2 linked regions of the Oreochromis niloticus genome follow. The protein of the gene in region 2 purifies or fractionates together with the protein of the main gene of each other region. This does not show direct contact. Links are inferred from orthologs where the notes say so. Each region holds a gene or a part of one and is shown on either strand. Other genes may lie near its edges.

The links.
Region 1: the proteins of pds5b (region 2) and structural maintenance of chromosomes protein 1A purify together in Homo sapiens (affinity purification with western blotting; 8 studies listed by BioGRID and IntAct, with this or other methods). This does not show direct contact. The link is inferred for Oreochromis niloticus from reciprocal best matches to the Homo sapiens genes PDS5B and SMC1A.

The regions. Positions count from the first base shown.
Region 1 is NC_031984.2:20,056,465-20,072,586, forward strand, and holds the start of structural maintenance of chromosomes protein 1A, read right to left. Parts: upstream 7,670-16,122; 5' UTR 7,400-7,669; coding exon 7,291-7,399; intron 6,274-7,290; coding exon 6,085-6,273; intron 5,719-6,084; coding exon 5,606-5,718; intron 5,344-5,605; coding exon 5,140-5,343; intron 4,604-5,139; coding exon 4,365-4,603; intron 4,273-4,364; coding exon 4,014-4,272; intron 3,878-4,013; coding exon 3,737-3,877; intron 3,651-3,736; coding exon 3,568-3,650; intron 3,451-3,567; coding exon 3,351-3,450; intron 3,026-3,350; coding exon 2,918-3,025; intron 2,797-2,917; coding exon 2,611-2,796; intron 281-2,610; coding exon 101-280; intron 1-100. Other genes in the region: ribc1 (RIB43A-like with coiled-coils protein 1), read left to right, coding at 8,259-8,457, 8,620-8,837, 8,962-9,076, 9,363-9,481, 10,074-10,310, 12,182-12,348, 12,509-12,590; l1cama (neural cell adhesion molecule L1.2), read right to left, coding at 15,361-15,616, 15,982-15,993. UniProt on the Homo sapiens protein: Involved in chromosome cohesion during cell cycle and in DNA repair. Central component of cohesin complex. The cohesin complex is required for the cohesion of sister chromatids after DNA replication.
Region 2 is NC_031975.2:16,184,492-16,200,404, forward strand, and holds the start of pds5b (sister chromatid cohesion protein PDS5 homolog B), read right to left. Parts: upstream 7,031-15,913; 5' UTR 6,885-7,030; intron 1-6,884. Other genes in the region: zar1l (protein ZAR1-like), read left to right, coding at 8,335-8,916, 9,750-9,842, 9,917-9,991, 10,211-10,354; fryb (protein furry homolog), read right to left, coding at 14,229-14,487, 15,567-15,802. UniProt on the Homo sapiens protein: Regulator of sister chromatid cohesion in mitosis which may stabilize cohesin complex association with chromatin. May couple sister chromatid cohesion during mitosis to DNA replication.

The sequences.
Region 1 (16,122 bases), on a different chromosome or scaffold from region 2:
TGGACACCGATGAATAAGGAGTTAATAGGTAGAAGTAGTTATTATGCATTATCACATCTATGAACTGTCCAATCATCGATCTTTAAATTAGGTTAAGTACCTTGTGCCTGTATGGCCCTCCAAACGCAATTCTTCGTGCATCCTCAACATTCTCGCAGACCAGAGCATTGCCACAAGCGTACTGCAGAGCTTTTTTGATGTGGGGAGGCTCATAGCGAATCACATCAATCACCAGCTTGGCTCCTCGCAGTTCTCGGAGTTTCTCATCGGTTGGTTTCACCTTTGAAAAGACAAATTTTAAATTTTCTAGACAATATTTACAGTGTGAATGGCACCAAGGAAAAAAAAACATCAATGACCTGAGGTTGGGATTATTTTACAGTTAAGTAGCATTTTATATAAAGAACCTCTGGGGGAAAAAAAGGTTCAAATTGTCTGTAAATAAAGATTCTTTATAGGCGTGACAACATTTAACTTAAAAAAATAAAGATGGAAGTATAATTTTGGCTTTAAAAATTACAGAAAGCAATGTTGCCCACCCTGCCACGAATTTGCTCTTTCTATGACATTAAAACATGTTGCAGGAACTTTCATTATCGTCCGCAGGGAAAATTAGGTCAGCTAAATATTTTAAGTGAGGACCAACTCTGAGAAACTTTACCAAAATACTATCTGGATACATAATCATCCAGCTGATCACCTTTAATTCCACTCAATAGGGATATTCAGGGTTCACACCTATTTTTCAGGGTCAAATTCAAGCACCTTTTAAGCACTTTCAAGGTCCATTTTCAAGCTTTTCTAGATTGCCAAAAAAAAGAATGCATGTTTCACTCGTTTCACTAAGTAAGACCATATAAAGATTAAAACAAATCATCTTAGGTCGACTTAAAAGAAAAATGCACCACACAAAACTACTGAAAAAGGAAACGGTTGCCTTATGTGCAAATAGTGTACAAACTCAAAACACACATTTCTCTTAAAAATTAAGATGTGCAAATGTGAACAAATCAACTTGTTAGAGATATTCATCTCCACTTGAAAAAAACAACAACCCCACAAAACAAGAAAACTGCACCAAACACCACAATAACACACAGCAAGGTCTTCTCATCAGTGATTGACGCTTCTTTCCTATGTGACACAAAAATAGGAGACAGATGTTTTTTTTTTTTTTACTAGTTAAGCACCCACGCCCAGAAAAATGGGGGCAAAAGGGCGGAGATCAAGTTTAATCGGTTAAAACACGAGGTCAGAAATATAAGTGCCGACATGAGTACTGTCACAGCAGTACTCAGTACGAAGCATATTTTCAAAGGTGTTATATGCTATTAAAAACTTTTTAAAAAATTAGGCAGCCTGAAAGTATGAAATATTCATATATTAAAACACTTAAATTTGTCTGTTGTCTCAGTGGCTGATAGTTTATAATTTTTAAGTTGTTTAATGTGTAGGTGTTCACGATAAACAGATTTTGAATGAAAGCCGGGAACTTCAGTAGCACAAAAAAGTGGCTATTCTTTTTTGTTCTCTTATTAGTCTATCTCATTACCATTATTTCCTTAAGCCTTAAATTGGCTAGTTAAGTATCAGATTAACGTTTAAAGCTTTCACTTGAATGAAGTAACTCACATTACTGCTACTACTAAGTAATGTTAGCTAAGTTTACAGCATATTCCAGAAACCACCATGCCATAACTAACTATTATAATAGCCCTGCCATACTGCATCACACTCAGTGCATTTCAATCATTTCTCCAGCAAGTCTGATAGCTAGCAAAATAATAATAATAATAGTTTTAAAAATTAGCACATACTCAAAAATTATTTACTAGGACTCATCTGTCATGTGACTCAAGAGTGCAAATTCCACCAGTGTCGTTTTCCATCAAACAGTCATTAAAACAGCAACCTCCAGTTAGTGCACTCATCCCCGACTGTTCGGGGGAGGGGCGGGGTCACACATTGAAACAGACTGACATGCAGAGGTGCAAGGCGGCCCAGGCGGAGAAATTTTACCTTTACACATTGCGACTCATTTTATTTCTCTATCTGATAAGTTAACTATTCGGTTACTACAGTTTCAAGCACGTTTAAGCACCACATCTGAAATTCAAGCACTTTTCAAACCTTAAAAAGACAGTATTAAAGTTTTCAAGGATTTCAAGCACCCGTAAGAACCCTGGATATTATTCTCCAGAGCAGAGCAGAGATTTAAAATCAGAACTCCAGCAACACAGTAGCTCATCTATTTCAGGACCCATCACAATTCACAGGTCATTGCCCATAAACCTAAAAACGCGACCCATGAGAATTCTTTGGAAAGTCTCCATAGAACAACAAACAATCATGTTTTACCATTTCACTCAAATTAAATAACATTTTAATCAAATTCAAACCAATAATGTAGGTAAAGTAGTTCATCTACTGAACTACGTCTGAGTCGATGGATGTATGGATGGACAAACAACGCTTTGTGCTTCTACAATTTCCATTCCATAAGTTTTACAAGACTGACAATTTAGCTCACAAGGTACACCCATCAAGGACATAATTTTATAATGAATTGTTCAAAGCTCTCAGGTGGAGTCATTACTTTTATATACTTACTTCAAGGTAATCAAGAGGAAGGAAGGTCTCCGGCTCTCCTCTCTGCTCCTTTATGTACTGAATACAGTCTCTGCCAGTCTTCTCTGAGTCAACAATGATGGCGTCCATGTTCTTACCCAACACTTTAGTCACAGCGATTTGATATTTCTTCTGAGTGGGCTGACACAGGTCGATCAGACGACCATACTGAAAACACATTCAGTAAACTGAGGTTTGTTCAGTGCTCTTATGCTCAATGTTTAAATGCTTTTACCAAAAAGGAAAGAAAAGCAGACCCAGCATGGGTATAGTGCCAAAGGTGCCTTACCACAGAGCCAGGATAGAGTCTTTTTATACTCTCCATGATCTCGGCCTTACGTTGCTGGCGACTGTTCTCCTGCCTGTCGATTCTGGCGTCTCCAAGCTGCTCCATCACCTAAACCACAGTCCAATAATAACGGGATTCATCAGAGGTGCTACTATAGGTGATGTAAGAAATTTATAGAATCCAGTATTACCCAAACATGGATTAATGACCCACAAAGCAATCATTTATTTAATCAGTGCTTTATTTAATCAAGTCTACTGATTGATACAAAGAAATGATGCTTTGTCTTGTACAGTTCAGGAAAATATGAGCTATAGAAAAAGCCTGATGTCTTTAGGAGCAGAGTTAGCACATGCAAAAATAAACTAACCCAATTAGAGTAGATTCAAATTGTTGTTGGCGCTGATTTCTTTCTTTCCTGTGTATTGAGTACCTGATTAAGCTCCATATTGATCTCATCAATCCTCCTTTTGGCCATCTCCACTTCCTCAGTCAGCTCTTCCTCCATACGCTTCTGCTCATCTAGTGATTGCCTGATGGGGAAAAGAGAAAAAAAGGGTGTGAATCACACAGTAAACCAGAGAAACCTATAAAATTAATAAGTTTACCACAGCTCTGTTCAAAACAATCCAAAATTAAGAGCAGCATACCTGCTGGTGGCAATATAATCCTCCAGTTTTTCAATACGTTTCTGGTTTTCCTCAATTTCACGGATCTTCTGTTTAATTTTGGCCTAAAGAGAAACAACAACTTCTATCAAATCAATTTTGTTCTGGCTCATAAAACTTTTCCATCATTTTCCATTTTTCTCTCCTTTACCTCTGTCTCCACTTTCTTTCTCTCCTCTAAGTCCAGGCGGTCCTGGTCAGCCTTCTGGTCGCGGTTGAACTTCTCCAGCTCCTGTGCCAGCGTGGCAGCACGTTTGCTGGCCTCCTCCTTCAGACGATGATACTGCTTCACCTGGAAGAAGCGAGACACAGAGTGTGCATGTTTCAATTTCATGAAACATTATAATTTTACTAAAATCCTGTAACTAATTTGGTATTTTTTCAAAATAAATCATGCAAGTCTAAAATGTAGTTTTCACACATCAGACCTGATTTTCCTCCAAGGTGAGATCCTGGCCTTGGCTCTGCGCCTCCTCCTCCATTCTTTCCTCAAACTCTTGCTTAGCCAGCTCCACTGCCCTCATCTCTTTGTCCAGCTCATCCATGTCTGCCTTCCGCTTCTTGTACATCTTCTGGGCATTTTGCAGTGATTTTCTTGCTGCCTCAAGCTTCTTGATTTTGTGTGAGGTGTTCTCTTTGGCTTTGATGTACTGAGGCCTCTTTTGGTTCAACTCAGAGTCCTTCTCCCTGTAGTCAAGTCAACCGTTTAATGTAAGTCAAATGACTAATAGTGCATTAAGCTTTAAATGTCAAAACTTATTTTATTTAATGCCACTTACTTAATTTCTTTCTCAATGGTCTGTTGCTCCCTCATCAGCCTGCCCAGCTCCTTCTTCTTGTCCTTCAGCTCCTCCTCCACATGGTCCATCTTTTTACGGTCCTTATCGATCTCTTTGTTCCGCTGCCCAAGCTCTTTGTTCAGCCTCTCGATCTCAGTCTCATTGTGGTAAAGTTTGAAGAGCTGCAACTGTACACTAGCTCTGGCTACTTCATCCTTAAGACGCTGGTAACGCTCAGCCTGGTAAAATGAACGAAAATAGAGAAGAGAGCAAATTATGATTAGAGATGTAACAGATTCAATTTTCCATCAGATAACACAAAAAACTAATCACGAAAATTCAAAAGTTTGTTTTAAGGCTATTTTTGAGTCATTTCAAATAAGAAACGCACAGATTTGCTGCCGATTACAGTGTAACAATCTTTACTTCATCTTTGTGTTGTTCACCTAACACCAAATTTTATCTCTTATATAAATATATATGTGGGAAAGATTTATATGCAGGATGTGCAGTTGAAACTGTTACATTGCTGAAAGCTTATGTTGAGCTTTGATAAAAGTTCCTAGTTTGTCTTTTACTGTTGAAGTTTGGTGCATTCATATGAATGACAAGTATTTGCATTATCTGGAATTATATATTACCTAAAATCTGTTAGAGTAGAAACAGGCTATACCACTCAATGAATCCTGTATGGAGGAATTCAGTAAATGCAAATAACCATAGACACTAATGATGACACTCTGGGTCCTATGCAGACTCAGTAAAAATGGCAAACCTCTTCTTTCTCTTGCTTAGCCTCTTTGCGCTCTGCAGCGATGTTTTTCTTGCGATGATAGTTGAACTGCGTGTCCTCCTCTGCTTTCACCATCTCCTTCTTCCTCCGGTCATACTCCTGGGCCAGCTCTCCTGAACGGGAGATCTCTTCAAACAGCGCTGTACGCTCTTTGGGGTTCTTCATGGCAATAGACTCAACAGCTCCCTTAAAGGGAAATAAAGACAAAACTGAATTTTAAAATAGCAAATAAAATGTTACCTGGTGTTAATTTGATCTCTGGTCTAACTGGCCAAGTCACGTTCAAACCAATGATATACACACACACGCACACACACTAAAAACTTTACTACTGCACTATCCAATCAAAATAACCTAGTGGATTAGTACAGGAGTACTATGAAAGACTGCCTGTGCATAAATTGCTTTTGAAAAGATCTTGACAACATTTACAAGAATTAAATCTTACCTGAAAGACCAAGAAGTTCCTAGCCTTTATCAGAATTCCAAGTTTTTCCAGTTCTTCGCTGTATTCAGGCAGGCCCACTACTTTACTGTTGATGCGATACTCAGAGGAAGAACCTGGTGCATATTCCAAAAACAAAACAAGCATTAGCTCATCATCAACACACACAAATAATATACTATACTATTAAACTATATTATTTTATATACTACAGTAAAAAAGTGCATTTTATTTACAATTTATAAATGTAACAGATTTTAAATATTTTTTAAACGCCAAATGCCAAAGATGTGTAAAAATGTTTTCTTAGATGATGAGTCAATTTTTGAAAACTGATATCCATGCAGCTTTACTACTATCCTTTTATTCAGCTGAAAAGCATTCAAATATTACTAGATCAGTGTCTCTTAATTCACACAGACAACTATTCAAAAAGAAAGTTAATTTTATATTCAAGGACAGTTGGTAATGGAGCTTCGTACCAATAATGACTCTTGTGAAGGCACGTTCTTCTCCATTATCTTCCTGGTACACCATACTGACAAAGGCTCTGTTGGCAGCTGGCTTCCCTACAGGCGCTCCATGGATTAGATCCTTCAGAGTCTTCACACGCAGGTTACTTGTCTTCTCTGCCAACACGAAGCTGATGGCATCCATAAGGTTGGACTTTCCTACAAACATTGTGATGAATCTTAGTAAACTTTGGGACCTTTTTATATTAAAAGGCATATGTTAAGACCATGTTGCTGCCATCTACACATTCAGTCTCATACTGATGCACTGCACTGCAATATACATGGACTTGCAGTTATGTGTATAGGTTTTTAATGATTCATTTATACCTTAATATTTGTACACAAAGATCTGCAATGACATTTATACTTTAAGAACCCTTGAAAGCCTCATGCTTTTATACATAAACAGCAACAACTATATATAGGCTTTAATATCCCTTATGTAAATCATACTTTGTTACCTAATATTATTTTGTACATTGTATCTCAGATTCTTATAGTTTTATTTATTTGTTTTATTTAATGTTACATAATTAAATTATATATTTTTTAATTCTTTCTAGTTGCACACTGTGGGATGGGGAAACAACGATTAGATCCTATGCATGTCCTGTAAATATTACAGTAAGGTTCACTTTTTATTTGTAAAGTCTGGTACCAAACAGCAGTTCTGCAATAAAATCCATCTCATTGGCTATTAGTGTGCAGTTTTTACACGTTGTTTTGTTTGAGTTGATATGGCTAAACTTACAGGCCAGATAGTTTTGATGATGCATTGCACTGTATTACGAGAAAAGACCGTTGAAAGTCTTTCTCTTGTGTAATGGGTCCAACACCAATGTTTACAAATATATTACGTGCCTATACGACATAAGTGCTTAAACGGTCTAATGGAGTGACTTCAATAAAAATGCAAAAACGACATTCTACAAACTGACAACCATAAATACACCGAAATAAAGTTTAAATAAATTCTATAGTGCCAAATGTAAACATGAAACACTACGATACATCACATCACCAACAGTTGAACCTCTGTCCAGTTCAGCTGTGCACAGACTGAGAGTTATGATCCAAATAGAGCGGGGCTGTGGAGCTCTGTTTACCGTTAGGCACAGCTAGCAGTTTGCATTTCGCATTAGCTTCGAGCTTATGTTAGCTGTCATTACATACCAGATCCATTGGGTCCGATGATTGCAGTAAACTTGTGAAAAGGTCCGATAATCTGCCTTCCTTTATACGACTTGAAATTTTCGATCTCTATCAGTTTTAAATAACCCATCTCGTTCTATTTGTTTAGCTGGTCTGCAGTGAATATTAGCTTAGCAGTTAGCTAATGCTAACAACCAATGTTTACCCGGTAAGCTGTTGCAAAGACGCAGTGTGCACGAAATGAATGAACCCCTCTGGTCAATCTACTGCTGCTCTATGCACAAGTTACATTATGATCTGCGCAATCGTTTTAAAAATTAAAATAAAAATTATAATCTTTATCAAATATATTCGGTACGGCGGCGACAACAATGCGCCATTTTACAATCCAACAGGAAGACCCACAAGCGCGCGAGACACGAAACCTCACAGTTTCTCGCGAGACCAAATTTAGTTGTCTGGCGTTTGTCGTGTTTTGATTGTTATCTCGGCCTTGGATATCACTTTTTACTACTATTAATGCTACTTTATTACAAATTATACACATTATTAAAAAAATAAAAAGACATTTCCTTAGCTGGTCCTGTCACTCTCGTTATGTATTTCCAGCATATCGATGTGTGTCCACATGTTTCCATGGTTACCAAGCGTCTCCAAACACAACAGGAGCAGATTTTCATTCACTGATATTGACTGAAAGAAACTGAGCAGATTTATAACGTCAGCGGTAAGTGGTGTATGTCCATTTTTAAGGAAAAGCCATTTAATTTAGTCCACTTATTCTTTAAATATGCCTTTAAAGAAGCATTGGTTTTTGATGTTATCAGGTGATGACAGGAGCAAATCGCTCTGAAGATGAACCCCACCAGGATTTTATATTTCAATCGGCATAGTCATTTCTTTAATAATTTATTTTCAGGCAAGATTATCAGCTCTGATAATAAGTGTCGTAATGCTGTCTCTTTAGGAAGTCACTACAAACTTTGAACATGTACAAAGTGGATTTGCCTGTAGACGAGTCCACGGAAAAGGCTGTGGAGAGGCGTAAGGCTGCAGAAACAGCACGCAAGGCCCGCATTTTCAACACCCGGCTTCGTGTGATGGGTCTCGACCTAGATACACTAAACCAACAAGTCCAGGAGAAGAAACACCAGCAAAACATGGAGAAACAAAGGGACAAAGCTTTGGGTAAACTGAAGGACAGGGATGAGGTAGAATTAAAGCAGTATAATTGCAGACATAATTCCTGCAAGACGCTATAAATGCAAGTCCCCTGGTCCCCTTATTGTTTCAGGCCCTCTCCATTAATGAGCTTTGGTTGGTCACAGGTGTATTTTTAATGTATTACAGATAAGTTGAGAATATGCCAAGATGAAGTACTGGTGCAGCAGAACAATGCTGAAAAGGAGAAGCGAAGAGTTTTGAATTCTGAACTCACCAATTACTGGGCTACTCATCAGCGAGCAGAGGACTCTCGTGATGCTGATCTTAAATTTGACCTGAAGGGGGCATTCAAGATCGCCATTCCAGAGGATGAGCTAGGGCCTGCCAGTATGCAAATCTTTAAGGTAGGGCAGCTCTGACAAAGCAGGTGATTTGTATGCTTTAAAGACCGGGGGGGGGGCTCCAGCTAATGGTTAAATATGTAATATTGTTACCGCTTATGGTCATCTGTCCTTGTTTCATGCACAGGGAGAGGGTGTCGGAGAGGAGCTGAGGATGAGAGAACAAATAAGAAAGACAGAACGAGATCTGCGAGCACAGATGGATGAGAATGAAAAAAGGCACATGCGAGACAAGCACATAGGTGAAAAGAGACACACACACACAAGTACACACATTCACTAGCATTCCTAATGAGCTTACATCCTTTACTCTACAACCTCTGTACATCACACACATGCTTCATGCTTTCCTGCACAAACAATCATACACTCCCATGCACAGCCCTTATTACCAGGTGACAGTGATGGATGCTCATCCCTAAGAGCCTTACTGTAAGTGTGAAGTGTGCAGTTGAAGAGCCACATACAACCGCTAATGCAGGTGTGAAAAACACACATCAGATGATCCCCAAATCATGTGTGTCACAGAGATGCTTGTGAGCAAAGAGCTGGTGCAACAAGATGTGAGAGGGGCTCAGCAAGCTGCCCTCGAGGAGGTGTGTAAGAGAGCTACCCGCATCGCGCTCGACAACTACAATCAGGCTCTGGTACAGTATATGTGCACACTCACAGATGGACAAACAGATATGCACACACCACTCACTAATGTGAATCCTCAAGGCAAAAATCTAAGGGGGGGGGGCAAGCTGTGACATGATGTTGTCATGTGGGAATTGCAAGCTGAAAATGTCAAATGATGCATGCACACACTTGGTGCAGGATGGCGGCAATCATATTATTTGGCACCAGGCAACATGGATGGTTAAACAGCTTTGATGTATGCGTGGTTACTGTCTGTTTTTAAAAGCCCCCATTTAGCTCTTCCCTCATTTGCCTGAATGCACTCGGCTGAATCCCCCATTGGGAGGCATCATTGTAAATTCTTCAGGTCACTGTACTTTTTCATAGTGTTTAGTGGTTTCACTAATAACCACTCATGATGCACAAGCAAATACAGCTGACTGAGTGGCTCTCTCAGGACGACGTTCGCCATATGGCTGACTGGTAGCTCTATGCTAGGAGTAACCACATTTTAGAGACTGGGTTTTGCAATGCTTCTGAATCATCAGTCATCAGTGGGATAATCAATTAACTGTCCCTGGATCTGTGTTAAAGCCTCACCATGCTCTGTACACACAGGCTAAAGAGCAAGCAGAGAAACTGAAGGAGCAACACAAGAGAGAGGAACAGGAAAATCTGGCAGAGATGTGGCATACAATGACATCTGACATGATGACAGAGTGTGCAGAGGCAACAGAGAGACAGGTGGGAGGAGGGAGGCCACCACAGGTTCTACCAGACAGGTGGAAAGGAATGAGCCCTGAACAGCTGAAAAGCATTCAGCAGGAGAGAGAACAACAATGCCTTGAGAGACAGGTATTACACTCTGTACTCCACAGTAATATAGTCAAAGCTGCACACAGTATCCCACATATGGTATGTAGAATACCATGTGCACACAATCCCTTGAGTACTTGTGTGTTTTGTTAATGCGACTTCAGAGGTGGCCAGCGGGGGAATTGGGCGGGGCAAGTACTTGTGCTTTGGCACTGTGGGACAGAAAAACTCTTGTTGAACCTTAGACAGAACCAGGCTCAGGGGCAGGCAGCCATCTGCCGCGACCATTTTGGGATGAAGGGAAAGAGTTTTTGACATCTGTGCCAACTTTTCTACATGGGTTGTTTTCAAAAAGGGTTGTAAACTTTTCAGCTTTGAGGAGATTACTCATTCACAAAGAGAATGATCCTAGACTTGAAAAAAAAAAATTAGATGGAAATGTGAAAACTACAAAGTCTGTAATCACAAGTAAAAACAACCAAAAAAGCAACAGTGCAATATTAATAGTAAAAATATACATTTATATGAGATCTATACCTTCAGTCCATAAAATAAAAGAAATATATCAAGATAATTAAAACTAATGACAGATGAGTATAAATGATCATTTAAAACCAGTGAAATAAGTAGAATTAAAAGCACAAAGTTCATAAAACAAAAAGAAATAACTAAACTAAAAATACTTTAAAAAATATATTAAAATACTAATATCAGTCATTATTAAAGCAGAGTTAAGGGAGCCACCTGCTGAAAACACTCTTGACGGGTAGGTCATGAAGGGGATGTTGTGTGTCGTCCAGTATGTTTAGCAGTTTGTGCAACATCCTGCTCTTAATAACTACCTCTAGGGGCTTCAGGCTAGTCCCCAGCACAGACTCAGCCTTTAATCAGCTTGTTCAGCTTTCCAGTGTCACTGGCTCTGATGCTGCTACCCCAAAACAAACCTACAAAGAAGATTGCACTAGCAGTAACAGACAGTAGTGTTTTACTGAATTCATTAAATGACCCAGAAAGCCTCAGTGTTGCATTTCCAGTCTAGTCTATTATTGATGTGAATACCCAGGTTTTTGTAGCTCTTCTCCCACAGTGGAAAAGGTGTTCAACTTAGGTTTGTCCCTCCTTTTTGTTTTGTTTTAAACACTGCAAATGTTGGAGTACTCCTGGTGTGATTCAGAAGGTTGTTTCAGCAGCGAATCAGAAAAGATAAAAGCCACATCACCAGTATTGGTTAAGACTCGGTAAATAATCCATGAGGTCTGCAGGTAGCTTACTAGCTTGTCAGATAGATATTGAGGTCGCAAACATTGCGTCACCGTAAAAAAGCACTAACATCTAAAAATCAATTCTAAAACTAATTGGAAGCCATTGAAGTAACAGGAGCACTACTAGTGTCCATCAAGCCAGCGGTGCTCAAACCAGCATCCAGGCACTGAAAGTAGGTTTGAGCAAGTAATAAAAGGTCTTATTTTAGTGTGCTGGAGATATTAAAAAAATATACCATCATATATCAGTTTTCTCCTTATTCAGGATGATGGTATCTTCTTAGTCTTTCTAGTGTACTAAAATAAGGCCCTAAACTTCCTGTTAGTGCCTGGACCTGGATTAACAGGATCAACATTGATTTCAAGATGCAATAGTGGCGAGAATAAGCATAAACATAAAGTGCTAACACAGAAAAAAAACATTTGAGTGGATCCAGTTACCAAGCCATAAGACCTCCAGCAGATTATTTGGCTCTGAAGCTTTGCATTTTTCAGTGTTATCTACAGGCATGTTAAAGTCACCCAAAATCAGCATGAAATCAAAATCTGAGGAAGTCTGGGAACCTAAATCATTAAATAATGAAGCAGAATTGCCTTTAGGAGAACAAGTATAGTGCGTTTTTAGATTTATTTCCTCTCTGCCTTCAGAAACAGCAAGATGCTGAAAAGATTCGGGATGCAGCTTGGGACCTGAAGCTGCTGAAGCTGTCCAGAGAAGCCGAGAAGGAGGATCTGACAGCAGCCGAGCTGAGTAGAGAGCGGAGAATTCAGATGGACCGCTACAACATGCAGCTGGCCCGAGAACAGCTGGCACAGTAAGCACTGCGCACATATTCATGCACTCTCTGATTAGACACTAGTCAGCAAATGTGTTTTAGGCTTAGGTGATAAAGTATGGAAATATAGATTTCAGATTTTATAAACATTTTGGGGAACAAGCTACTTACTGTGTTTAAATTTCTGTTTCTGCCCCAGGCAAGAGTACCTGAATAAGAGACTGTACACCAACAAACCCACCAAGGACTACTTTTATCAATTCAACACCAGCTCCCGCTGACTGCCAGTGACCTGACATTAGCTTGTCCTCCTGTGGCATTGGGCTAAATAAACTTGGTTAATCAATGAATCAGTGTGAACTGGATCAACATTAATCATAACTTAAGTGACAGACATTTCCTTCAGATTAACACGGTTATTTCTGATTAGTGACAAAAAATGGGAGCCTCTTTTGGTACAGATTGTTCCACGTACTTTATTTTTCAGTCATATATCCAGTTACAGCAGTAGCTTCATAATGCAGTTACAATATTGGCCCCAAAAGTGGTACAAGACCCACAGCTCCAGTCATCCACCCATGACAAATATAGGCATCGTCATGTTGTGCTAATACTGCACCCCACACTCTGCGAAGTGGCATATCATCCCCAGCAGCGGCGCACACCCCCTGGCCTCCCTTGCCCCTTCTGTTTCATCTACTTCCACTTAAATGTCCTAGAGAAGCTTCTCTACACAAACGAATTCATTTTCAGTCGATTTTTCTTCTTTAGCTATATAAAAAAAGAAAAAACAACCACAGTGAGAAAGCAAAGGCCAGCATCCCCAGGTTTCCTCTACAAAACATGAAAAGCAAAGAGTGAGCGGCAGTCGAGTGAGTATCTGTGTGTGTACACTCATTCCTCATTCAGAGCTAACATTTGCCTCCAAACACTGACACACAGTTGTTTAGCAGCAGATAGTTGAGTTAGAATATTGGCATATCTTGCGTCATTCATCGCTCCTGTATGAAAATAGATTTTTTTTAAAAGCTTTATTTGTCCTGAGTGTGTCTGTTTAACCAACAACAGGGAGCTTACACAAACCTCCTTCAGTGCCACTAGCCTCTTTAGACATCTCATATTCTACCTCGGAGACTACAGTTGATGTTTGGCCAGTGGCGAGCTTTTGTTTGAGAAGGGAGAGTGTTGCGTTTAAGTGTTCCCTGTGGCTCACTGCATTTCTGCCCCGCACAACTTCATCAGACAAAAACTCCACAGATATTCACTGCACTGCATTGCTGGATGATTAAGGGCATGAGCGCAATCCTAGCTTAAATTGTAATGTAACTACTTTCACTAAGTGACACTAAATTGATTTTTTTTTTTTCCGTTTTCAAATTTCGATATGTTTGCAAAAACATCTACATAACAATGTGATTTTTTTTTTTCCTTTTTTTTTTTTTCTCCTTTATTCAACTATGGAGTATGTTTTTGCTACACCCAAATCTCACTGTGATCGTTTGTCGATAACAGAAAAGTCTGAATTCATAGCAATAGTACAGAGAAGGAAAAAAACTACAATTTGCAACATTTTAAAATTAAGTGAAGTGGCTTTAAACCTGCACATTTTTCACATTTTCATATCAAACATGGTTCTGTAGGGGTTGTATTTACATTCAGAGGGAAAACAAATGGTCCCGGCTCTTCCTGTGACTTTACTCTCCTTTGACCTTTTTAGCTCAGATTATTTTCAGAAGCAAGTAAATACAGTGTCTGCCTAACCCTGAAAGGAATACATTCTCTGTTTGATATAAACAACTATTTTTTAACTTTTATCATATATCAAATGGCAGCCTTTACAACTGTCAACAATATCAGCTTGCATTGAGGAAGGTTTGAAAATAAAACTTGAGAGAGTGTTTGCGCACTAGACGCCACCCTCTTATCTGAAATATACATAAATACTGCGCCTCAGTTTGTTTAGTATGAGATGAGCAGGTATGAAAGGTTGTTAATTAGAGACAATGTTTTAATACAGCGTAGAAAGAGACAAAGACAGCGATACAGAAAACTACACATAGGTCTCGACACACAAAAAAATTACAACATTGTTTTCAAAAATGACATTACACTTCTGGTGGGAAGGCGAGAGAGTAATGACATCAATCTGGTGCTTTATGCAGACCCAGCAGGCACAGGAACTTATAAGGATCTATAATACTGTAATATGGCTAAATAGATAAGTGTAGATGCAGCTATATACACCAGATGCTACTCAGCATTTTCACAGCAAGTTCCACTTAATGCGTCCAAATAGTAAGAAACTTGGCTTCACTTGATTTTGCTGAAAACATGTTAATCTATGAAATGTGTCGTAGCTTTTTATATAAATAGTGTAGAAAACAATATGAAAAATGATTACGTAACAAAAAATGACACAACAACAACAACAGCAACAAAAAAAAATGATGTTTGGTATTCAAACACGCTTGTAAAACCAAAAAAATGTCACTGGCAAGTACAATCGGAGACATTAAATGGCAATTAGACATACAAAATCATGTGGGAAGTACATCAAACATGATTCATATCTAAGATTCAAGATTTTTTTCTGTACAGCAGCATTAGCTGTCTTGTTCCCTACACTGGGTTCTACCATCATCCTTTACTTTTAATGCACTACTCTGCATCTTTACCTACACCCCCTGATATTTCTAACTGTACAACATTCTGTCTTTATGCTTCTGCGCTGTTGTTTGCTGAGAGAACGAAAGAGGAGGGAGAGAAATGAATGTTAGTCTTTTTCATTAGTTGTAAACTGCACAGGAAAATGAAGGGAGGTCAAAGGACATGTTCATGTCAGTCAGGCTTATATCACTATCGCTGTCCACTACTTTGGACACTCCTTTGGTCAATATAGTCTAGTCAATCAGATGGCTGCCAGGGACATCTGAATATGATTGTTTATTAGTCGTCGAAGTACAGATCAGCAAGTCAGTAGGGAACAGGAGCATATGGGCACATACGTGTTGACATATTTTGGTCTGATGGTCCCCGGTGGATGTGTGGGGGTTAATCGAGGATGGTGACTGAGTTGGGCACGCCATTGGTGGCGGGAGAGAAGGTAGTGGGGTTCAGCGGGGCGTTCTCTGGCAGGAAACCTTCTGGACCGCCACTGGGACGACTGATCTGGCTAGCCAGAGACTCATCCATGTTGAGCTCTGTGGTCATGGCACTGCTGCCATTGAAGTCGAGGTTGTCTTCGCTGTACAGCTTGCTCTTCTCACACAGGGACGGCTGGCTGGCTGTTTGCTTTTCCTCAAGATCACTGCAGCATGAAGAACAGAAGAGGTCAAAAGTAAGAAATGTTAACACGATACATACGAAAAATGCAATGCTGCATGCCAAAGGTTGAATATTATGTACTAATATTTTAAGTAATTTTTTTAAAATAGTGAGTTCCCAGTTATAAATCGTGACTATTTGCTTTTCAGAGTCTCACATTACATTGAGGTGAATGTTATAGGATTTTGGACTGTTGATTGAACATAATGCAATCACCATATGAATCAGTAAACAAATATATTACATTAAAATTAGTCTGAATGTTTATGGGAAGGCAGAAGGTAAATGAGGCATCGGCAGAGGTAAAAATTAAGTGGGTTAAGGATATTAAATCATATCGCAGCATACCTTTCTAGAGATCTGCATAAGAGGGGCAGGCATTAGGGAGGAGAGTGACAATGAAAGGAACAGAGAGGGTTAGGAAAACCAAGCAGTGCTGAGGGAATCAGGGCTGTGTTAGAAATCAATGTGCAGAAACATAACAAAGCA
Region 2 (15,913 bases):
CACGGTACCACAGTCTAATAACAGAGAAGATTGAAATCAAATTAGTTTTTAGTCAGATCAAAGTAAAATTAATTTTACAGACTGAATATTCTTGGTGATTCAAATGAACTGATTAATTTTCTCATTTGTGGGCATTACAGCAGTTTAGAAACAGACTTGACAGCTCTTTAGGATCACGAACAACCAACTGAATGCATGTACACCGCTGTGAATAAGAGGTGCATTTTGATCACTTGTGACATAACCTCTGCAGCATTAGTGCGACATGGCCCAACAGTTTGCATATCTAAAATGTTGTTTAACAGTGAATGGCATTTAAGATTTTAGCTCACAGGTTGAGCAGGTGACCGCATAGTGCAAGGCTATACAGCATACAGCAGCCTGGGCTTAACACCGACCTGATGGCCCTCGCTGCCCCTTTTCTGCCTCATCTTCACTGCACTGTCTAATAAAGTCAGAAGCCTGTGACACAATTACTTAAAAATGGTACTCCAGATTATTTCAACTCTTAACGTAACCTGCTTTGGGCCAGGTTTTTCTAGCTAGGCAAAAAGCGAGTCATCTGTAATGCTGAGAACTCAAACTTTAAGCTCGACATACCTCGCTGACTCATTAATTTAGCTTTGCAGTGCTCCCCTCTGGGCACTTCATGACACTCAGTTCTTGTTGTTCTACCCTCCACTACAACACTAATAGCTATAGAAAAAAAAGTGTAGATATGAGAGTACATTGGCATGATTTAGCCAACCCTAATTAGTGGTAATAAGGGTAATAAGTCATAACATCTGCCTTGTTCTTTATAATCTTTGCAGGCTGTTTTTTAAAAACATGTTTTGGCTTAAAGGGAACAGCAGGCTGACATTAACTAACAAAATGTCTGCAGCTCTTGTAGCTTTTGCACAATGTTTAGGCCCAGTGAGCTGCTTGGTTTAAATATATCAAAACCCTGATATTAGAAACTAGAATCCAAGACATGGCAGCGTTCCTCGGTTACAGCTCAGAAATGCTGCTATTAACCAAAACAGTAATTTTCTCCAGACTCACGTCTTGGTCTATTTTCATGTCAGTTTTCTAGCCGTTAACATAACTTCACAAAAACAGCTAACAACGCAGACATGTAAAAATATTTAATAGATGAAGCAGATTAATGTGAATGTAGGTACTTAGCCGAAGATCGTGAGTGCACAGACTCATTTTGCAGTCGTTTACTTTTCCCAATTCAATTCAATTTCCAGAGAACCATCAGAACATAAAGTCCCCTCAGGATAGCAAGATGGTAAATTGTTGCATCACATGTAATAGGAAGCAATTTATAATTTGCTATGCTGTCCAAAGAAACATTGACTAAAGGAGCCAGTATTCAAAGAGTCATATTGGGTTTCTCAACAACAAACAAGCAATCTGAAGACGCTTCCTTTCACTCTATGTAACTCTGGTAGGCCATCTTTTATATACAATTATAATTTATATACATCTCGTTATTTCCTCATAATTTTAGTTATTTAAAATAAAATGAATAAAAATCAAACTTGCACATAGTCAGTCATACATCAGTAATGAAATCAGATCAGATGGCTGTTTAAATAATGCAATCAAGTTTCAGAGCGAGTGATAATGATTACCTTTGTGAGTCATATACAAAAACCACACCGCAAAAGCATCAGTGTTAACACACACAGGTTAGATGTTCTAGCTTGATATTTCTCTGCGACTTTAGTAGCGGCTATGATAACCAGCAGAGGTGTTAGCTGTTCGCTGTTGTGTACTGAGTCTCTGTGGAGGAGTCTGTTTGTTAATTTTCTCAGACTTTCCCACATCTCATAATGAAATTTAGCTCCCTACTTGGGGATGTGATTACTTTGTGTCATGCCCAAATATCTGCCCCTTTCCGACTTGCCTGCTGGCATGCACTCACACTGTGCTTAATGATCTGGGTACGCTTCAGTTTGTCTTGGCACCTAAACTCCTCACACAAAGCCACTGTCGCTTTCAGTCCTAGACAATGACATTCATGATTTTCTGCATTTTCAGGTATAATGGGGCACTTTTGAATGTGATGACAGACCGTCCTCTCACATGGTTTATAGATTTGTCAAACTGGCAAGGCAGCTGTCCCTGAGGAAGCTTTGGAGTTCCATACTTTGGAGCAGTTAGGGCATCACACCGCACTACTATGCAGATGTACAACCTCTTCAGGCAGGCCAAAGCATGCTGGTCAAAAATATCTGAGAGCATCACCGAAACGTCACATGCCATGGAGCAAGCAGCCCTCATGCATGTCATGGGGCTTTCAGTTTTTTGCAACCTTGCATCTGTGGCATCACCAGACTGAAGGAATGAGTGTATGATTGTCAGTTTTTAAGAACCATGTTAATGATTCATCAGAGCAAAAGATTTCCAGATTATACCAAGGGAGATGTTGGAAAGAAAAAAAACCCAAAAGACTTTTGTACTCCAGTAGTAACACTGATGTGGAGGTTTTCTCTGAGTGGTGACACCTCTACCATTTAGGAGAATACTGCAGCCAGCCCAGTGTGCCCTCACTGGCGGTATAAATGATGATGTCACTTCTTGTGTGCACAATGACCACTGCAGCGACCATAATGAGCCCTTAAGCAGTCACACAAAAGTAGTCATTAACTTAATAAGTCAAACAACAGGTAAGCAGGTTAGATCTCCAGCATAACTTACCATTGCAATGCACCCCACTAACAATAAGACTCTTAATCACCTAATCACACTAAAAACACAGGGTCAAACCCTGACGGTGCTTGGATAAGTCCAAATCTTGCTTCATAGCAAAGGCCTCTGGTGTAGTCAGGATACGTTAACATAGCAAAAAACCCATGTGCACTTAGTAGTCGTTAAAATGTTACCTGATTTAATGAGTACTCAGACCACACCAATAATTTTGGCCTTCACTTTGCTCACTGTCACTTCCACACTATGATGCTATCCTATTGACAAAATCTGTCCATAGACAGACAGATATGGACACCAGCCAAAGACACATGAGACACACTTCAAACCCACTGTGAGTTCACCTTAGGGTAGCAAATCACTGTGCTTTCAATTCAGGATATGCAGTCACATGCCGATAACTTGACTGGCAATTTGGACGTGTAATGTCAGGTCACGCAAGCCTAGAGACCAGTCTGCAACCACCTGGCAACCACTGATCATGAAGGAAAGAAAAATTGAGTATTCCACAACTGGTGAAAACCACCTTGCTGCTTTGGTTCCTAGCTGATTGCTGCTGTCACTCGTAGTTTGCACAGAACACGCCAGCTTGTCTGCAAACATTCACCAGCTACTCCTCCAGTAGCAGTGATAATGTGAAAACTGCCAAAACTGAGACAGTTTGCCTTCAAAGTAAAAACCGGGCCTTTTAAAAACTTGCTGACTGCCGTGCTGAAACAAGTTTTACTCTGAAGGCAAATGCCGTTCTCGTCACACTTTTTCCAAGTTTACTACTGCTCGGCTAGCACATTTGCAGAGATTTTTGGTGCAGCAAAAATCTCTTCTTTGTAACCAACTTCACCCAATGACCGCCAGCAACATCCAGGAATTACTCACCAAGCGCCAATATGACAGACGGCTCTCAAGCAATGTGCATGACATCATGTGACAAACTGCTATATGACTGCAGAAACCCAGGCTACGGTTGGGTATTCTGGAAAAAGGAATCATATCCCAATCTTAGTTTCTGCAATCCTGTGGTTATGTGTGCATACCCTCTATTCAATTCAATTTATAGCAACAAATTACAACAACAGGTACTTTAAATTGTAAGGTAAAGACCCTACAATAATATCTATTAATACCTCTACAATATCTCTCTGTAAAAAGGCATCACATCTGCTCAAAAATAAAAACTCAACTCACAAACCCCAGTATCCTACTTGGAGCTTTCAAAATATAACATTTCAATATAATTGGAAGTTTGGTGATTTGATCCCTGGCTGCTCCAGCCTGCGTGCCAAAGTATCCTTGGGCAAGCTACTGAACCCCAAGTTGCTCTCTCATGCGTTCATTGGAGTGTAAATGTGTGAAAGTGTTAGACAGAAAGCACTTAAGCTCAGTAAAAAAAAAAAAGTGCTCATATAAATGAGTGTGAATGGGTGAATGAGGAAAGTTGTATAAAGTACTTTAAGTGCTCAAGTAGAAAGAAAAGCGCTATAGAAGAACCAGTCCATTTACCATAACAGATAAGTACCTTTTAGTGGGGAAATCTGTACGATTCCTTAGGAAAGTGCACAAAATGCCAAACTGAGATCATCCTCATCCATCTGCTCACTTCAACTTCCCTGATAGGCATATGTTAGGCTGCCTGATCCACAGTTCAGACCAGGCAGCATGAAATTTGGTCAAATGTTTTTTGTTTTACTTGGCTGTAATATTATCTCCTTTTGAGCGTTAAGAAAAAAAATGATGTAATTGTTTTATTTAATACAACTACATAACAAATACAATTAAAAAACAACAACACTGCACATATGCAGCTATAAGAAGCACTGAAAAATGAACAGATGATTTTCTTCTCTCACGACTGAGCCGCTTGTTCCTTCAATTTCAGCTACTTTTAACCCCGAAAGAAAAACTGATTTATGAAGCGGTCCCGGTCAGTGGGTCTGCCGTCTGACAAAAGCGCTTGATTTAGAGACCAGACTCCAAAACCTAGTTATGAATCACAACCAAACAATTTTCTGTAGCTGAGCTTTTACAAAAACACACACAGACACACACACGGGACATTGGCAAGCTGCCAAATTGTTTGATTCTGACCTTCTTTTCCACCCACAGCTGCTGCCAAATTTGAGTCCATCCCTCTCTCATTCTGCCACACTGATACACAGTTGAGCTCTGGCAGCCAATCACAGCAGATTATTTCTCAACCTAGGGAGGCTGCGTGGGTACCATCCACCATGGAACCAGCACTAAATAATCACAAAGGGGCAAGCTGTCCCATACACAACCTCCTGAACATGAACTACTTTCAGCTTATTACTGGTTTATCACAGTCAAAACACATTTATCCCCCCACCGAGAGCCTTTCCTACCCCCCATTAGTTGCTTATGCTCTTCCCACTTCTGCCTTTTAAAGGCAGCTGCCAGCAGAAATGTGAGAACTTTCCTTTCTTCGAACCTAATTCGAACTCTGACAGAGACATCCTTGATTTTAACCCCCCTCTCATATGGGTGATCACAGGGATGAGTGTGAATGTCAGCAAACAGAGAGGGAACCGGACACCGGCCAGCTTTAAGAGCGAACTTGTCGACCTCCGCGCGGGCGCTCTCACAAAAACAAAGCGATGGAAACTGGCTGAAGAAGGGAAACGCTGTCAGAGTTGAGCTTTTCCTCAGATGAAATGAAATGGACAAGTGAAGGCTGAATCACATCTCTATGGGCATTAGGCAGCACACACATCATTACTCCTCTGTATCCATTCACCACAAGGCAACCATCAAAGAGAAACAAACTGAAAATCTTGGTTTTGAAGAGGAAGAGCTTGACTAAACATAATTCAGCTCAGTTTACAATTCAGTGAATGCTTAAAGGAGCACAGCCTGCATTTGATTTTTTAAATAGGGCCAAATTATCTCTTGAAGAAGTGCAAAGTGGCTCCTGATAAATTAGTTTTGCCTGAAGCATTATTTTATTTGCAATTCGCACCAAGAATGAATACATTAAAATCCAATTTGGGATTTTAAATTGTGTTATTTTTAAGAGGATTTTTTTATTTATTTATTTTGTGTCTGTGTGTGTGTGTGTGTGTGTGTGTGTGTGTACATGGAGAGAAATCCAAATGAAACAAATATCTAACCCAGCGTTACATGGCATATTTAGACTTCTTACAATCTTTAATCCGCTCACCAAAACGCAATGCTGATGATGAAGCGATTTAAAAACAATAGCAATAATAAAATTAAAAACATATACAAAGATTATATTTTTCATATACATATATAGACTGATAGCTGTCACATCAGATGCCCTATAGCTCTCTGCAAGCGACTTGGCTGCAAAATTAATGTCCTATCTGATCACACGCTACTTTTTCACCTCCAAAGCTTCTATTTGTGTTCATGTTTTCATTGTTGCGCAAACTCGTTAAGTAAAAGTCTTTAAAATCTCGAGAAGCCTTAAATACACAATTACCGCTACAGGATCAGGTCTCTGCAATTAAAGGAAAAAAAAAAAAAGGAATGCGCCTTGCACTAAAAGCCCGCAATCGTCACAACGAAAATACTACGACCAGAGTTGGGCTAATAATTTATTCTCGAGGCCGATTTCACGTGGGTGAGTTATTACACAGTCAGGAAACTGTTCGTGAATAGAGGGTATTGTTATTGGTACAGCAGCGTGTTCAGGCCAGGCTGCCTTATTGCTGTTATGATGACTGTGGCTAATCCATCTAGCTGCTGTTAGCTCGCTAGTATCCACGCTAGCGACTAGCGTGCCGAGCTAGCGTTAGCAGCAGAGCAATCTCAGTGACAGAGGGCGGACTGAGAGTAACGCTGCACCGAACAAAACACACCGGCTAACTACCGTTATATTCATATCAATATCCCGAGCCCGCTCACACAACCAAGCCGACCCCCACTGTCTGTTCGTGCTGCGGGGAGCCCAGTCAGCAGACTACTATTTTACTAGCTAACCATTTTTTTGTTCCGCCGCAGGACCAGGTCAACCAGCGCTGTGAATCGGACAAGGCTGCCGAGAACACAGGCGAGCGAGGCGGGCTCTGCTCCGCCTTTTTTAGCGCTGGAAACCCGGGAGCTCCGCGGTTACATCCCGGATCACACCGACTCTGTGGCAACGACGTCCGAAAATATCGCTGCTTTTCAATCAAAACGATTCGCTTCTTTGTGCATTTTCTTACCTGTTACGGTGAATTGTGATAAATCGTGTCCTCCTCTGCAGCTCTCTTCCCCCTCCTAGCTCCAAAATGGCGCCAATATGTATAGATTCAGTGCCCGTGGGTAAAAACCATCGATGGGTGCGTAGCGCCACCTATAGGACAAGTTCGGGTACTTCTGCTGAGCCCTTCACTTGACGCGCGGAGCGTCTTTTTCAGTTTTTGTTTGTAAAAATTTTCCAAAAGATTTCGAGTATTCAAACGCATATAACAGAAAGTTCCTGCAATATATTTAACAGTCCTCGTGAAGCGCTCTGTAAAGATAAAAGCAGGTAATTTGCATTAAAAAAAACACAATGAATTAATTTAGAGCGGATTTTATTTAGCACAGGCCTATAAAATACACGAACCCTGCCAAATAAGACATTAGTCTTCTTATACGGAGTTTACATTTAATCCCACCGTTTAAAAAATACCGTTTTAAATATCCAAACGATAATGTTTTGACATTATTCTTTAAGGCATTGTTGTCTATTTTGCACATCAAACGGAATACCCAAGATTCCGACAGAGCCTGAACTCACCGCCAAACCATGATTCAACTAAAGGGGTTTGTGCGTGAAAATGATCGCATAAATATGACAGTAACGGTGCATTAACGTTAATCCTGTGTAAACTGGAATTAAAAATATAAATAGTTGCTGCTGAATGGCGCTTCTGGCGTTTTAAGTGCGCCCCTACTGTTAGAATATACCATATAAAGTCATTTATTCATACAGACATTTTAAAAATAAAAATCACATTTATGGGACAATGCCCATGGGTATTTATTTCTCAGTTTCCTTTGTCTGCTAACCTACTCATTCACATTTTTAATACTTCTAACACATGTTTGGCTTTTAAATTATATATTTTCTGACTTCAGTGGCTTTACTAAAAAAGCAATATTACTGAAGTTATACAACCTTCTTGCCAAGCTGGTTCACATAACGTCCAACTAAAAATAAATAAATAAATAAAGGTGTAACTGCATGCCTCATTAATCTCCTGCTTGCTTTGTCTTTCTCCGATGGGTCTCTGGCCAACATGAACCAGCCCATAGGGGGAGCTCCAATATAACATTTCGGATTTGGATCGTTCAAATAAAGCAGTGCACTTGCTGCAAAGGTGGATTTTGCACAGTCTTGTTTCAGCAGAGATTTTCTGCAGTTTTTTGATAAAAACAATTTTAATTTAACTTAATTTTTAAAGATCGCCCCCCAAAATGTATCACTACACATTCAAAGGCATAGCCAGCCATTCTTGCTGTAGTCAACAGAGTCTTATTATTAATAAATAATAGAGGGCACAGTATCTCTACCGATATTCGAGCCTGCACACCGCTGTTCTCAATTAACCAATCAATGCCGAGAGAAGGTAAGCGTAGGCTAAAAATCTCACGAGGACGGAGTTGGACTGGTTTCATGGCTCCAGGATGGAGGGGTTCCTGTCCACGTTTCCACCATACAGTGTATATGGTAACGCTGTCTGCGCGCCCCCGGCTCAGGTCGGCAACTGGGGCAAAAGAGATGGTCGCTTCATGAACCCCCAGGGCCTCAACTACCTGGAGCTCTACAAGACCCTCCTGTCCCAGGTCAACCCGAGTTTACCCCCTCCGCTCAAGAAGGCGAACACCAAAGAGTGCGGCGTGCAAGTGAACGCCAAGGTGGATAAAATTGTCCAGTGCTCTCTGGGCCCCAAAACGCTGTCCTGCGACGAACTCCCCACTCCCTGCAAGCCCCCCAGGAGCCCCGATGCGTCCACACCGGAGGGGAAGGCGCAGTTCCACACGCCGCCAATGAGCAACCTGCGCTTCCTGAGGCCCGTGTCCATCTATTCGCCGGTGTTTGACCGCAGGCTCTTCCTAAAGAAACTCGAAGATTGCGCTGGTGAAGGAGAAGGTGAACCCGCCGCCGAGCAGGCCACGTCCGAGGCCGACGGGGATCAAAGTGGCGAGGAAGCCCCAGAAGCCTCCAAGACAGCTTTCCACCGGTCTCCAAAGGGAGCCAACTTTCAGGTGGATGCGTGTGGAAATGGCAATGAGCAGTCTTTAGTTTTCCCATCCACGATGTAACTCAGAAAACCCCTCAGTCATCTGTGGTTTAAGCCCTCAACCTATAGCCTAATTAGTATGACTGTCATTTTAAACCTATTATCCATCCGGAAATATAGATTCTTTTATTTAGCAAATGTCACCGTAGGCTCATTTAAATGTCTTCTGATTTCAACTCGGTACTTTTTCTACACTAAAAAACACCTAACGAAACTTGATTTATTTAAGATTTAAGAAGTGTAAAAGATCATAACTGGTTCAAAAACACAAAGAAATAAAGGGCAGTATAAGAAACTAATTGTCTTAAAATTAGTTTTATTAAACAAAAAGCACTTAAAGCAGGGATGTCAAACTCCTTGTGGGCCACATAAAGCCCACTTTGATCTTAATGGGTTGGACCAATGAAACACTCCCTTCTGTCAGTGTAAAGAAGTTTAAACTTAAAAGCAGTTTAAATGCAGTTTTTCACACTACGTCTCACTTTCTCTACATGACAGATGTATAAAATGAGAGACATTTCTGATAACTCACTGCCCAGACTGTTCTGGATTTATAAAAGATAAACATAAATGTTTTTAAATTGAAAAACTATCTTGTTTATTAACTACTTTGTAGTATGAATGGTAATGGGGGTAGAGCCATTATTATTGGGAAATTCTAAACTTATGATAGTTAAGTTTAAAATCTATGCACTTCCTCACATTCTCCATAAAAGTATCACCAGAATGTTTTCAGTCAGTGGAGCCCACAGGGGAAAAAAGATTTTGTATACATTTTATTTATTTATTTTTTTCCAGTTCCTGGAGCAGAGGTATGGGTTTTTCCACTGCAAAAAGTGCAACATCCGGTGGGAGAGTGCTTATGTATGGTGCATCTCTGGAACCAGTAAGGTTAGTGGCAACCTGCTTGCACAAACAAATATCTGCATTCTTGCTGAGCTAATACAGAGCGACTGCTTTGGCAGGTATACTACAAGCAGCTCTGCCGGAAGTGTCAAGTGGGGTTTAACCCCTACAGAGTGGAATCTATCCTGTGCAAGGTACGTGAACTTGTTTTTGAGGAACTCTCGCAAGATGATTTGATCACTTGGACTTTAAGTGGAATCGCAGGGTCAGTCAGATTCTGTGTGGGGCATTTAAATAAACTGGATCACATTTCTAAGGTACTTTCAGTCTCAGTAAGGCATTCCTTCTGTAGGGATGAGAAAAGCCTGTGCTCTTTCTTACGCTGATGTTGTTCTTATGCCCCCCTCTGTCAGGGTTGCTCTCAGACTTGCTGCATCTGTGAGAAGAAGCAGAGACACATTAACATGAAGAAGCCTCACCGTCAGGACCTGTGCTGTCGCTGCAAGGGAATGAAGCTGTCCTGTGACGCCACCTACAGCTTCAAATACATCGTCTGAGTTGCCCGCCGCGAAGGCCTGAGGTTACACCAATAAGACTGACGTGTAAAGTCGTGCCACAAAGAGAAGCTGCCACCGCCTCCAGTAACAAAGAGTCACTCCAACCAGCAAAAGAGCTGAATCGCTGCCTTGGTTTGAGCCAACTTTAAAAATTCTTTCCCCCTCACTGATCCTGGTATCTAACATAAAAACTATTTTTGTATGAAGAAATAAACACTGCACCTTAAAAGTTGAGATTCCTGAATGTATACATACACTATGAAGTCATAATGAAAATGGAAATGATGGGGTGCTTGCCTATTATACCCAGTAGACGGAGTATAATGTTACTCTACTGCAGTAATACAAACAACAATGTTCTCCCAGACAAACTGATGGCACAATTTCTGAATTACTCCAAGCTTCTATTTTTAACAAGCCAGCACAATCTTGTGGTTCAGAAACTGATGTACAGATTAAGTGAAAAGTGAAACCATGGTGATTTTCTTTCTTTAAAAAATTGGCTGATAAAAACATTTAAAATTCCATTTTGTCAGTTGTAGCACAAATCCTTGGGAAAAAGTTGATGATCAAAAGCAGTAGTTGGGCTTTATGCTGAGAGCATGAGAAATGTGATGTTTGCTTTGAGAGTGTTGATGCTCAGAAGCAGTTGCACTTTGTAGATCTAGAGCAAGCATGTGATGGCTCACCAAGAGAAACCGTGCTGCTGCATGAGAAGTAAGTATCAGAAGTATGTGAGGGACATGCAGGGTAAGTGTGGAGTGACAGAGGGGTTCATCAGGGATCAGAGTCCCTTCTCGTTTGCAGTGGTGATGGAAAAGTTGAGAGGTCGGGCACGAGTATCTGTGGACTGATGTTTGCAGATGACATTGCGATCTGTAGTGGAGAGGTGGAGGTATCCTCTGGAGAGAAAAGGAATGAAAATCAGAAGCAAGACTGACTACATGTGAGTGAATGAGAGGGAGACAGGTTTAAATACTTGGGGTCAGGCAAGATGAGTGTCGGGTTATTAGTGACACAAAGATGGCAAGAGTAAAATGAAATGTTTAGGGACAGTAGTGAGACTTGCTCTGATGCATGGTTTAAAGGCTGGCAGAGCTAAAGATGTTCAGACTTCAAGCTGTTAAGATCAGGAGAGAGGGGGTTAGAAATGAATACATGCGAAGGACTGTTCAGGTTGAGCATTTTGGAGACACGGTTAGAGAAGCAAGGCTGAGAGGGTTTGGACATGTGCAGAGGAGGGATGTTAGAGATGGAGCTGCCAGGAAGGAGGAAGACTGTAGAGAACATTGACAGATGTAGGGATAGGGCAGAGCACCTTGAATACAATTAGTTTTTCAGTCATTTATAAAGCACCAAAAGACAACACAAGTTATAGGTCTTTACTTTGACAACTTTTACAGAGCTTCAACTCAAAACAACTTCACAAAGGCTGTGAAAATATTTACAAGGTGAAAAAACAACTACTGTCTTCATCTAAAAAGCTTTAAAAATGTGCAACTTCTTGTTTGGCATGCAAACACATTCTCCCACACACAGGAAAAAGAAAACAAACATACCCGCGTGAGCTTGTGGCTCCCTTTTGTACCTCATACAAACGTATCTTTCAGATAAAATTATCTTGTTAATAAATATTTCAAACACTCCATACAGTAAACAGAAAATGCATGCATGGCAGTTTGATTTGAGAGAACAAACACTATAAAACCTAAGTCAAATAAGTGTTGTTTCATATCTGATCAGATATAAATAGGAAAAGAAGACATTTGTACAGCAACAGCAAAACGACTGCTAGATCCGAACCAAGGGAGAGTCTCTCACACACACACAAAAAAAAAGGCTGACGACGACGAGTTCAGATTCAGTAGTGCGTAGCGTGGGTTTCATTTCGCACATCTACAATGAGTGCAGAATGTCAGCATTTCCCTTACGTGTAAGGTAACTACAAACCACACAAACATATCCTACTATGGTTGTGTGACAGTAACGATTAGCAGTATACAGACGGGCAAATACTTGACTGTGTACATGCGCCATCTTCTCTGCATGTGAACACCAAGTCGACAGAAATCTAGTGTTTACGCTCACTAAAGATGCTACAGCTAGCCACGGAGGGGTGCACGCCACGCACGGATAATGGCATGATTACTCTACCAATGTTTACAACAGTAGTCAGAGGACAATTTGATTCACTGATACAGAATATAAACAGGCCAAAGAGCAGTGTAAAGAAATGCACTTGAATATTCTGCATCTGCTCTGTCAGCAAGTCTTTCAATCAGTCTGAGGTCAGACGTCTGGGCTAGGCGAAAAGGACGGGAGCTTACAGTAGAAAGCATTCAACTGGGTCATGCATTGCACAGTTTCCTCCAGAGGAGGCCTCAGAACAGTAGAGACAAAATCACTCCAGCATTTGGCTTTTCCTTCTTAATAAAAGTGACAGCCTTTTTCTCTCACAGTAACAAAACATACATGATCTCCTTTCTACAACATTTAGAAAAAGAAAAAAAAGGAAAACAAAACTCCACAGAGGAAACTTCTTCCAGTGATGCTACGTAGTGTCATGGCTCATTTCCTCACTGTCTCTTTCATCTTTCCTGAAAGAGGCAGCAAGTGTCAAGCATGTCTCAAAGTTCCTCCGGGAAGCCAGTTTAAGTCCAAGCTAAAAGCCTTCACAGGTCCTCGGAGTGCAGCACAGATTAGATGCTGAATTATGACCGTCAAGCGGGACTTAAACAAGGAGGTACATTATTTTTCACGACATCTAGCTTTTGAAGCAAAGCCTGCGCTTGTATATAATCACATCAGGTCATTCTTATCAGCAGGCAGCAATCTGTAGTATCCAGAGATAAATCCCATTATACATGGGATATGATTCCCTGTCCTTAAACATTTAAAGTGTCCAGGTATTTCTGGCATGTCATTGTCTACTTTTCAGATGCAAAGATCTGATGTTCGGTTCGTTAGGTCCTCTGGCGTGGTAACTTTAAAGTCTCAGGTTTGGACGTCTGACGGTTCAGTATTCAGGAGCCCCCCTACTGTCAGTAGGGGCAGGGCAGCTTGTCCCACCTTCCCCAGGTAGCGAGTCAAAGGCGTAGCAGCACCGCCGAAGGAGCAACAACAACCCCATGCTGCAGCCTCTCCTGGGCCGGTGGGACAGGGAGGGGTGGTGGGGGAGGGGGAAGAGATGAACTTGGTGCAGGGCCGTGAGTTAAGACCGTGTCACGGCCCGGGTGCAGAATCGAGGACGGGCTCGAGTGTTTGTACGGAGAGCGTGGGAAATGGGGAAGATGAGAGCCCCGGGAAGAAATGGGCGATGGGTTCGTGTAAGAGTGTGTGAGCAAGGTGGGCGCTGAGGCCACAGTTGGGAGAGAGCTGGATGTGAGAGATGATATCAGGTGTTTGCTGCAGTGGAAATGTGATTGCGGTGAATTGCATGATGGATGTACTCTGATAGGATAATAAAGGCTCGTGTTCTCATCTAGATAACGTCTCTTTGGCTCTTGTGTGAGCGGCAGTGTAAAATGCGATTGGCCTGGCGTGTTGGAGCTATCTGCAGAGAACAGGTCGGGGGGTTTGGGAAAATCAAGCAAAAAGGTCTCAGAGTTTGCAGTGGATGAGGATGAAGAGTGGAGTGAAAGGTTTACTTCAGGTTCTAGTGCTGGGCAGGGTAGTAAGTGGGCATCTGCCTGGAGCTGTGAATCTGGGGCAGCAGACACATAGGAGGCGGCAGGGGCCAGGTATGTGGGTGCTGGGCCCCCTCTGTAAGAGCAGGCTGAGAGGGATGCGAAGGTTGTCTTGGAAGGGTCAATGGCTGCAGTGATGGAGGGGGTAAAGGTGGAGAAGGAGGGGGTGGGGGGCTCCTGAAGTCCTGTCAGAGACTGGTCGCGGAGGCACTTGAATCGGGGAGGTAAGTTGTGACGACCCGGTAACCCTGGGCGTGGCGGATCATGTCGCGGATCTCCCCGTTGAGCTCCAGCAGCTTGGAGCAGATCAGACTGAGGTCCTGCCGGGAACCGACCAGGGCGATTGTGCCCGTCTGGCCCAACGTTTGGTGACGGAAGTAGACGTTGAGCAGCGTCTGGACCTCACTCTCTGAGCTGCCGCCAAACACTCCGTTGGGCCACTGCCTCCTGAAAAGGACAAAAAAATTATTCAGTCTCATTAGAACAAGGTACAAAGTATGTATAAGCAATTATTATAGTCAACTCCATAAAATTTGTCCATAAGTACACGAATGCCACTAGACCCACATCTCTACTTTGCTAAATAACACCAAATAGAATAAACTATACAAGTAATTTTTCAGTTTGAACTCTTGCCTAAATATACTGTAATTTATTCAGATGCTATTGTTAAACATCAGTTCTATCAATTTTCCCTCAGGATTGGATAATCTCATTTTAACAGCTAGTAATCTAAACCTAAAACCAATCATCCTACATTTAACTTCATCTTCATCGACTTAAATCTACCCTCTTCTTGATCTCAGTAAGTCAAATGACAGGGTGAGGCAAGGTCTAACAATGGTTTCACCCGAAGCCTCTGCTGAGAACAAACCAGACCCTTTTTTTCACACCTTGGATCATGTGATGAGCCACATGAGCAATAGTGGGTCAACGACCCTCTTGCGGGGCAATCCCCTCTAGGGCTTAAAATCTGGGAGTCTCCATCATTTTGGTCTTAGAACTGAAGAAGCTTCTTGTATGAGAGGTGAAACATCTTCAAAGACACTTAAAGATGTTCAGTCGCTTTTCATTCCAAGCTCCTTAGATCCTCCTCTACTTGTATTACAGGATATCCAAATTTAACTGTCCTACTTTACCTCATGCAAAAATTACAATTTCACTTTCATTAGGATTTACACTTTCCTGTCTACACAACATCTTTCTACTCCATCTAAAGCCATCTGTAGTTCTGATTCTGTTAATACTACAATATCATCTGCGTACAGAAGCACAAAGAGTCTTCGATAGACCTCAACATCACCCATACTTAAGTTTCTCAGCCAGGAATGACAGCCCTTTATAAATGTCTACTTATTATATACTTTAAAATCATTTGTAAGATTGGAGAAAGTGATGGGGATAAGATGATCCAAAAAAGTGACCATTTTTTTTGGGATCATTTGTTCATTTACGTTGAGACAAAATAATAAAATCATTAAATCCCAGGATACACTCATGTATGCTGATGACCTCATGCTGCTCACCTGCATTCCTGGATGTAGCGCACGGCTTTGGTGAACTCATGGTTCCTAAGGCACTCCAGTATAGCCTGCACCGCTGCCTCTGAGGTGGGGAAGCTGGGCACAACCATGGCTGCCACCTGGGTGGCGTGTGAGTGAGTGTGGGCCAAGTGTTTGTGTTCCAAGTCGCTGGCTACGGCTGCCTCTGCTGCCTGCAGGCTGCTCTTCAGATCAGTAAGCTCTCGAGACATGTTCAGCAGCTAAGAGGTGGAGGGACAACAGATGGTGGTGGGTGAGTGTGTATGTGAAGTTTATGTCATCACAGAGGAAATGTCTATATTAAAAGATCGAATGCTCAAGATTAAGTTTGC